3 linked regions of the Arabidopsis thaliana genome follow. The protein of the gene in region 2 interacts with the protein of the main gene of each other region in a pairwise test. Each region holds a gene or a part of one and is shown on either strand. Other genes may lie near its edges. The genes, in order: SK9, AT1G57790 and SK10.

Region 1 (3,219 bases), on a different chromosome or scaffold from region 2:
CAGTTTTAAATTTTAATTAAAAAAAAAAAACTCATCCACTGTTTTTTCGCATAAAAAATATAAGAATTTATTCAATTATATGAAATTTTACTTTATAATAAAATCAAAATCCAGTAGTTATACGAAATTAAGTTCATTACTTCATTGTTGCTTTACGAATAAGTCTGAAATTTGAATATGTCTATATCTTATACGCATCTATAAATATATATATTATATTGCAGTTTTTGTTTTTCGTTAAAAAATATTGTATAGATCTCAATTTTTTAGAAAAGAAATATGTCAATATATATAACTTTTTTTAGTTAAATCTATTTAGCTTTTAATATTTCGCCTGAATTTTGTATAATTTTAAACACATTTTATAAGATTAACAAGCCATAACCTGTCAGAAATTTAATTAAAAAAAACAGAGGAATGCAAAAGTATTTTATCGAGTAAAGAAGAGTATTTTTGTAAGTATCATCACAACAAACGAAATATATGTCTACTTTCATTATTTGATTATTGAACTTTGATGAACTCATCATCAACTACATTGATCAAGATATTAAAAACACACACTAAAGAAGAAAACGAAAAGAAAAGAAAGAAAGCAGCTGCTTCCATTATTGGATTATCGTACGTAGATGAAGTCACCATCACCTAGATTGATAACGAAACACACACTAAATAAGAAAGAAAAGAAAAGAAAGAAAGCTGTTTAGGTTTTGATAATCCGCTCATTCAAAAGCCCATTTATTCTCCCTACGAATCGCTGCTTCTTCCTCAGGTGTTAAATCATTCTCAATGTTGAAGAATTCGCGAATCTGCTCAGGAGTGTTGCCTTTGATGATTTCCGCGACGGTTTGGCATGCTAGATCAAAAAGGCTTTTGATGTTTAGGTAATTCGCAGCCTTGATGAGATCAAAGATCGTGGATGTATCTTTTTCCATGAACTCCTTGTCCCACTTCTTGAGATCATCGTCGGAGCAAGGATTAGCGGCATCGACGTGGTGCTTGTTGCAGTACTCGATCACCATCGCAAGAATCTTGCCTGTCACGTTTGGAAGAGGGATTCCATTATCGGTACAATCATTTTCACTCATATGAGCTATGATAATCTGGCATTGGCGTGCGGCCTCTTCTTCGACCTCGAATGAGTGACCATCGGAGCTCTTCAATATGATCTTCTTCGTCGACATTATTTTTTCAGTGGGGGAGATTTTTTCTCTGGAAGATTGAAGAATTGAGTAAATGATTGAGTAATAAGGTAATGAAGTTATGAACCTATGCGTTTGTCTATTTATAAGCCCTAATAACTTTCATATATGCATGTATCGTGTCAAGTAAGTCACGAAAGCTTGAAGTTGTATTGTATGTCTACTCATGTTGATGTTGTTCTTCCACTAAAGTCTTTTTTTATGTGTCTTTTTGATTAAAACCACAACTTTTTCATGTGTTTACTTGTAAGTTAGTATGTAAGCCCTAACTTTCATAGATACATGTATGATGTATCGTGTCAAGTAAGTCACACAATCATTAAGTTATCTACTCATGTTATGTTGTTTTAATTTCCACTAAATTATTTTTTATATGTGTCTTTTAAATTATAACTACAACTTCTTTTTTTTTTTTTGGAAATTCGTGTTTTACAGTGTTTACTCCTAAGTTTCTATGTAATTCTTTTTTTTTTTTTATCTACTGGACTCCATTTTTCCAAATAAACTTTTTCATCAAAAATGCACTACGATGATGTTTTATAAATGAATGCATAAATATCACGTCTTACGCAATTGATAGTATTACACGGTAATATCTACCTCTTTGATTCTAACTTTTTTTAGATCTTAATTAATACCACAAACACAAAGTTCCAAATAGGAAACTTCAGCTCACAATTTTAATCAAAACAATTACATATGAATACAAAAGTTTTTTACAATACACAATGAATGAAATATATATGTCATTATTGGATTATTGAATTCACAAGTACTTGCCAATAACTTATGTCGTGTGTAACTGTGTAATTAGTTTTGCTCTTCTTAACTATTCCTTCTTGTTACTGATTTCCTCTACAGTTTTGTCATTGTATTGTGTCAAGTAAGTCACAAGAGAGTTTAGTTGTATAGTTGTATGTCTTTATATATATATATATACGGCAAAAGCTAATTATCGTTGTATGTCTACTTTTTTTTTTTTTTTTTCGAAAGTTGTATGTCTACTCATGTTGATGTTGTTCTCCCTTTCTTTTTAAGCAATGCTGTTCTTCTACAAAAGTCTTTGATATATTACCTTTCTATGTGGCCATTTGAGTAAAACCACAATTTTTTTTTAATTAGGAAACTCGTGTTTGTTGTATTTACTCCTAGATTTGCTTGTAATTCCGTTTTTATCCATTGGACTAACCACCAACTCAAATTTTCAAGAAAAAAATGAAGATTAACAATGCACTATGATGTTGTGTACATTACATACGCACTTGAAAACATTGAAAGGTTATATAATCTGTAACCTTTATTTGAAATTTCATATGTTTTAATACTTTCAATTAATATATGGTCTTTGATTTTATATTTTCCATATCTCTTTGTCATTTCTTAATATATACCAAAAATGTTCCAATTAAGTAACTTCCGCACACAGTTTTAAATTTTAATTCAAAAAAGAAGAACTCATCCACTGTTTTTTCGCATAAAGAATATAAGAATTTATTCAATAATATGAAATTTTACTTTATAATAAAATCAAAATCCAGTAGTTTGCGAAATTAAGTTCATTACTTCACTGTTGCTTTACGAATAAGTCTGAAATTTGAATATGTCTATATCTTATACGTATCTATAAATATATCTATATAATATATATTATATTGCAGTTTTTTTGTTTTTTTTTTTGTAAACTGCAGTTTTTGTTTTTCGTGAAAACATATTGTATAGATCTCAATTTTTTAGAAAAGAAATATGTCAATATATATATATATATATATATAACTTTTTTTAGTTAAATGTATGTAGCTTTTAATATTTCGTCTGACTTTTGTATAATTTTAAATACATTTTATAAGATTAACAAGCCATAACCTGTCAGAAATTTAATAAAAAAAAAATAAAGGAATGCAAAAGTATTTTATCGAGTAAAGAAGAGTATTTTTGTAAGTATTATCACAACAAACGAAATATATGTCTACTTTCATTATTTGATTATTGAACTCTGATGAACTCATCATCAACTACA
Region 2 (3,786 bases):
ATTTTTTGGCCTTATATAAGGAGGAAAGAGTTCTCAGGATCTCCATCAAAATTCTGCAATTTCTGAATTCTGATCATTGAAATTTTACAACCCTAGCTTCAGCCATCCGTTCTGCAGCTGGTCCATGCCATGGCTTATGCTCCATCATGAAACATGTTTTTTGGATGATCCAAATATGTCCAAACCTCGGATGAACAACTTCAAGATTTCATGGGAGAAATAATCAATTTACTTGTGAGGGTTAATGTTTACTGAATCAACTGGTATGAAAGTTTTAACACCCATCTTGGAATTGGTAAGCTATTCTCATCTTTCTATGAAATCACTATATTCTTAGAATCAATATATAGTTATAAATAATGTGATCGACAAAAAAATTACATAAGCATCTTGGCACGAGATTGTTGATTACATAACATTTTGGCTCCTAAAAAAAAAAAACACTGAACGTAGATGAAAGTGGAAGCTAAATAGTAAATACAGCTTTTGCTCTACCTTTAATTCTCTTTTTAATATGATGACCAGAAGATCATCAAATGATTTTAAGACTTTTCTGCTCACTATTTTAAGACTTTTAAGACTTTTCTGCTCACTATTTTTCCTTCCCTTCAGATGATTTCAAATATGCTTTATTGTTGTCTAATAATACGATGAAGTAGGTCAATGAGCATTGAAAAAGAGCTGATTATGAGAAAAGAAAGATACTACATTTCTTCGTTTCTGGTCATGAATTATTCTGCTATGAACTATCAATACAGAGACAATTACAATGTCTTGTTCTCAAAAAGCGTCTAAAGCATAATTTACCTTTGTAAAAACTATTAAGGAGAATCATATATATCAATTCCTTTGATTACTCCTCCAATCACTCTCGTTAATATCTCGTATAGAATAATATCTTTCTCTATAAGTACTCTGTAGAAACGTGTATATAAAAGAGCTCTTGTAATCATTAATAATACAACACAATCTATATTCATAATAAAAACTTTGATATTGGTTACTACAACCTCCAAGTTATTGCTTTTTATATTCTTACTGAAAATACCTTTTCTGTCTGCATACGAACAAAACATATCTCGAGATAGTACCGTTCATGTTTCTTTTACAATGTCAGATACAAAATTACATAATTATTTCCCATACTAACAAAACTATAAATGAAATTAACTCAATTGTCAAATTAAATGTGGTATCCCGAATTATCCCCTACTATATACAAAATTAGATAATGTCCCTACTATTTACGGGACAAGTTTTTCAAAATATAATCTTAGATTATGGAAATTATATATAAATAAAATATGGTAAAATCTTCATTAATTATATTTTTAAAATAATTAGATGTTTTGTATATTATTTTGTGAGAAACAAAATTTGTTAGTCATAAACTAAATACCAAATTTTAAAAATAATAGATAACTGAGAAAAAAAATGAAATCTGATTCCAAAAAAGAAAAGAGTTGAAAGATAGAAATAAATAAGAAAAAATCATCAACTAATATGGAAGACAATTCTATATTTTTTTCTTATTTAATATTTTAACTATTTTCATTTTAAGGGTATTTCATGTATTTAACTACATATTTAACATTTTATTTTATTCTGGTTATTATAATAGTAATCACTCATCACTTATACATCCAGTTGTCTCGTCTCTTCACCTTTCAATCAGAAGAACAGTGAAGTTGAGATCGTAAGTTTTCTTTCCCTCTAATCTCTATCTCTTTTTGCTTCAATTTTGATGTTTTGCATTTCCATCTATCTGATCTGAGTAACAATCTGAATTTCGTATTTGTTGCCCAATTCTGAATTCTTGAATTCAATGATATACACTTAGCCTGATATGAACCAAAATCAATCAAAGTTTTGTCTTTTCATAATCTGATTATTCAATTTTCGATCTTGTTTTATGAACTATTCTCAGATCCATCATGAGCGTGAATACCAATGAAGGGTCCAAGAACCTGTGGAAGGATCTTCCTTTAGAGCTTCTGAGTTCAGTAATGACTTTTCTTGAAATCAAAGATAACGTAAGAGCTTCTGTTGTATGCAAATCGTGGTTCGAAGCCGCAGTTTCAGTTAGGGTCATTGACAAATCTCCTTGGCTCATGTACTTCCCTGAAACCAAGAACACTTACGACTTTTACGATCCATCGAACTGCAAGAAGTATACAATGGAGCTGCCTAAATCGTTAGTTGGCTTTATTGTTCGTTACTCGAAAGATGGATGGTTACTTATGAGCCAAGAAGATTCATCACACTTTGTCTTGTTCAATCCATTTACTATGGATGTTGTAGCCTTGCCTTTTCTTCACTTGTTCACTTATTATCAGTTAGTGGGTTTCTCTTCTGCTCCTACATCTAGTGAGTGTGTGGTGTTTACTATCAAGGATTATGATCCAGGCCATGTCACTATCCGTACTTGGAGTCCGGGTCAAACGATGTGGACTTCAATGCAGGTTGAGTCTCAATTCCTTGATGTTGATCATAACAATGTTGTTTTCTCAAATGGCGTGTTTTACTGTCTTAACCAAAGAAACCACGTTGCGGTTTTTGATCCGTCTTTACGTACATGGAATGTTCTTGATGTACCGCCACCTAGATGTCCCGATGATAAGAGTTGGAATGAAGGAAAGTTCATGGTAGGTTATAAAGGTGACATACTTGTGATTCGTACATATGAAAATAAGGACCCTTTGGTGTTTAAACTCGATCTTACTCGAGGTATTTGGGAGGAGAAGGATACACTCGGTAGTTTAACTATTTTTGTGAGTAGGAAGTCATGTGAATCGAGAACATATGTTAAGGATGGGATGTTAAGGAATAGTGTATACTTCCCTGAGTTGTGTTACAATGAGAAACAAAGTGTGGTGTATTCGTTTGATGAAGGGAGGTACCACCTGCGAGAGCATGATCTTGATTGGGGAAAACAGCTTTCATCTGATAACATTTGGATCGAGCCTCCCAAGAACGCTTTTGAGCTAGTTTAAAAGTATTTTTGCAATGTTTGGTGTTTGAACTTGGCACATCTTAGAGATGATGACTTAGCTCCACTAATATGTTCTTTTGTTGCTATTGTTATTGTTATGTCAATTTTTTGCTCACTGTCTAAGCTCCAAGCTCCTCTTGTTCCTTATTCGATAAAAACAAAATTTCTCTCACACTTCAAGATTTTCATGGGATATAGCTTTATAATAAAAAGATTAAAATGAAATCATACTTTTATTTTGTCCAACTTACATAATACTTTTGGTGAATGAGACATTAAAGTATATCACAAAATGCATAAGGTCCATTAGCATGTTGTATTTTTCATTGTGGACACTTGTTTCGACTATGTTACGAAATAGAACATGCATTAGGATTTTCATCACTAAACATGTAATAATGTTTGGCCATCTCCTTTTCATAATCAGTAATTGGGTTGAGAGATACATTTCTATCCTTGTCGATTTCTTCATAAATATCTGCAAGTCTTTTTTCTTCTTCAGCCTCCCTTAACATCATTTCAGATTCCCACTCCTGTCTTTCCTTTTCAGCTTTTTTAATCTTTTGATGCATCTTCTTATTAAGTTTTCTCGACAGTTCATCCTTATCAAAGTTTCCAATGACCACAACCTTTTTATTTTCTAGATCCACTACATATGTTTCAACACCTAATCATACATAATTCAGACAATTTTATTAAAATAAATCACACATTATATATTATATGAAATTGATAAAACAGATATTATACCTGTGCATTTGGAAATAACTTTTCCAAAATCTTTCTCGTATTTC
Region 3 (3,124 bases), on a different chromosome or scaffold from region 2:
TGCCGTCTTCTTGGAGTAATTCTTGAGGAAACAAGTCCAGAAGAACTCCAAGTAATGATATTTTCGTTTTGAGATTTTATTTATATAGTGTGTGATGCGTTTGTATCTGAGACGAGTGATTTTATGCAGAAACAAGCCACAGTGAGGTCATCTGTTTTGGAAGTTCTACTAGAGATTACAAAGTATAGTGATTTGTATCTTATGGAAAGAGTTCTTGACGATGAAAGCGAGGTGAGCATTTGTTTTTCTCTCTCATTCGTGTTCTTTTGTTTGCCTTCGTGTTGGAACTAGTCTCTAGTAGGACAGAGTAAATTAGTTGTGGTTATTATTGAACATGGTTAGCTTAAATACTCGGGCAGTAGGTCATAACATTACATGGATATTCATATCGATAATAGTTGGTCGATGAATAATGTGTAATTAGAAGGATTCTTAAGCACATATCTTTACATTATTAGAGGAATCGAGTTCATTGGTGTTACTATATGCTTATTGTCAGTAGTTTCTGAAACTCACATTTTGAGCTCTAATTTGCAGGCCAAAGTTTTACAGGCTTTAGAGAATGCAGGAGTTTTTACATCTGGTGGTTTAGTCAAAGATAAGGTATTCAAATCAAGCTTTCTTCTACAAAATCTTGCACTCGTTAGCGGTCTTAGAAAGCCTTCCAATAATCGTATCAAAGCATGACTTTCGATATTGCTGTGTATGTTTCGAGAAAATGTAAGAATCACAATTCTGTAAACATGAAATTGCAGGTGCTCTTTTGTAGTACAGAGATAGGAAGAACTTCCTTTGTCAGACAGCTAGAACCTGACTGGCATATTGATACAAACCCGGAAATCAGCACACAACTAGCTGTAAAGTCATTTCCTTGTTTACTCATTTACATTCTTACCTTAGCTTTTAGTTTAACTCATTCCCCTCTTATTTGCAGAGGTTCATCAAATATCAGCTTCATGTCGCTACGGTGAAACCCGAGCGAACAGCTCCAAATGTGTTCACCTCGCAGTCAATAGAACAGTTCTTTGGAAGTGTTTAATATCAACAAAAAAAGAGAGGTGAAAGATATTACGTTGTCCTGACTTAAGCATCGTTGATCGAGTGTCTCTTAGGCTGAAACTTGAAACTTGTTTTTCATTTTTCTTTGATTGTGTCTAAATTAAAGTTTGATATACATTTGGAGTTAGATATTACTGCGAGTGCCTCTGTGAAAGTATCCAAGTTTGTAATTTTTGTATTAGCAACTTAGCAAAATTCTTTAAGAAATAAACAAATGTCCGTTGTTTAGTCATTAGTTCATCGACGAAGTGTGGATTAGTTCTATATCGAAATGCTTAAAGAAAATATGACTTGCTTATATTTTTCCTTGATTTAATTCATTTATATTATAAAGTAATACTTCATATAGTTGGTAAAAAAAATCCTGATCTGTATGTGAAAAACAGTGGATGATCAAATAAAACTGTGTACTGAATTGTCCTAATTGGAACATTTGTGGTATTAAGAGAAAACAAAGAGATCTTCTAGACATTGCCGTGTAATACTAAGATCAATTAATTCTGTGAAAAACAGTGGATGATCAAATAAAACTGTGTACTGAAGTTTCCTAATTGGAACATTTGTGGTATTAAGTGAAAACAAAGAGATCTCGACATGCCGTGTAATAATATTAAGATCAATTAATTGCGTAAGACGTGATATTTATGCATGCATTTATAGAAACTTTGAAGACGCGTTATGTGTATAAAACAACATCATAGTGCATTTTTAATAAAAAAAGTTTATTTGGAATATTTGAGTAGGTGGTTAGTCCAATATATAAAATTGAATTACATATAATCTTACAAGTAAACACGATAAAAAGTTGTGGTTTTAGCTTTAAAAGACTTTAGTGGAAAACAACATCAACATGAGTAGACATAAAACTTCAAGCTTTCGTGACTTGCTTGACACGATACATGCATCTATGAAAATTATTAGGGCTTATTAATAGACAAACGCATAGGTTCATAACTTCATTACCTTATTACTGAAATCCTTCTCTCAATTCTCAATCATTTTCTCAATTCTTCAATCTTCCAGAGAAAAAATCTCCCCCCAGCGAAAAAATAATGTCGACGAAGAAGATCATATTGAAGAGCTCCGATGGTCACTCATTCGAGGTCGAAGAAGAGGCCGCATGCCAATGCCAGACCATAGCTCATATGAGTGAAGACGATTGTACCGATAATGGAATCCCGCTTCCAGAAGTGACAGGCAAGATTCTTGAGATGGTGATCGAGTACTGCAACAAGCACCACGTCGATGCCGCTAATCCTTGCTCCGACGAGGATCTCAAGAAGTGGGACAAGGAATTCATGGAAAAATATCAATCCACGATCTTTGATCTCATTATGGCTGCGAATTACCTAAACATCAAAAGCCTTCTTGATCTAGCATGCCAAACCGTCGCGGATATGATCAAAGACAACACTGTGGAGCACACTCGCAAATTCTTCAACATTGAGAATGATTATACACATGAGGAAGAAGAAGCGGTTCGTAGGGAGAATCAATGGGGTTTTGAATGAGCGGGTGAAGCAAACACTAAGCAGCTTTCTTTCTTTTCTTTCTTCTTTAGTGTGTTTTTTTTTCAGTTTCGTTATCAATATGGGTGATGGTGACTTCGTCTACGTTCGATAATCCAATAATGAAAGCAGCTGCTTTCTTTCTTTTCTTTTCGTTTTCTTCTTTAGTGTGTGTTTTTCAATTTCTTGATCAATGTAGTTGATGATGAGTTCATCAGAGTTCAATAATCAAATAATGAAAGTAGACATATATTTCGTTTGTTGTGATAATACTTACAAAAATACTCTTCTTTACTCGATAAAATACTTTTGCATTCCTTTATTTTTTTTTTATTAAATTTCTGACAGGTTATGGCTTGTTAATCTTATAAAATGTATTTAAAATTATACAAAAGTCAGACGAAATATTAAAAGCTACATACATTTAACTAAAAAAAGTTATATATATATATATATATATATTGACATATTTCTTTTCTAAAAAATTGAGATCTATACAATATGTTTTCACGAAAAACAAAAACTGCAGTTTACAAAAAAAAAAACAAAAAAACTGC

The links.
Region 1: the proteins of AT1G57790 (region 2) and SK9 interact in a two-hybrid assay, tested with the Arabidopsis thaliana proteins (one large-scale study listed by BioGRID).
Region 3: the proteins of AT1G57790 (region 2) and SK10 interact in a two-hybrid assay, tested with the Arabidopsis thaliana proteins (one large-scale study listed by BioGRID).

Annotation. Positions count from the first base shown.
Region 1 is NC_003074.8:7,696,367-7,699,585, forward strand, and holds SK9 (SKP1-like 9), read right to left. Parts: upstream 1,251-3,219; 5' UTR 1,185-1,250; coding exon 723-1,184; 3' UTR 667-722; downstream 1-666. UniProt on the Arabidopsis thaliana protein: Involved in ubiquitination and subsequent proteasomal degradation of target proteins. Together with CUL1, RBX1 and a F-box protein, it forms a SCF E3 ubiquitin ligase complex. The functional specificity of this complex depends on the type of F-box protein.
Region 2 is NC_003070.9:21,403,785-21,407,570, reverse strand, and holds AT1G57790 (F-box family protein), read left to right. Parts: upstream 1-1,614; 5' UTR 1,615-1,696; intron 1,697-1,927; 5' UTR 1,928-1,934; coding exon 1,935-2,993; 3' UTR 2,994-3,229; downstream 3,230-3,786. Other genes in the region: AT1G57780 (heavy-metal-associated domain-containing protein), read right to left, coding at 3,343-3,659, 3,743-3,786.
Region 3 is NC_003074.8:7,699,223-7,702,346, reverse strand, and holds SK10 (SKP1-like 10), read left to right. Parts: upstream 1-1,900; 5' UTR 1,901-2,111; coding exon 2,112-2,570; 3' UTR 2,571-2,624; downstream 2,625-3,124. Other genes in the region: PEX22 (peroxin 22), read left to right, coding at 1-51, 130-231, 538-603, 756-857, 935-1,039. UniProt on the Arabidopsis thaliana protein: Involved in ubiquitination and subsequent proteasomal degradation of target proteins. Together with CUL1, RBX1 and a F-box protein, it forms a SCF E3 ubiquitin ligase complex. The functional specificity of this complex depends on the type of F-box protein.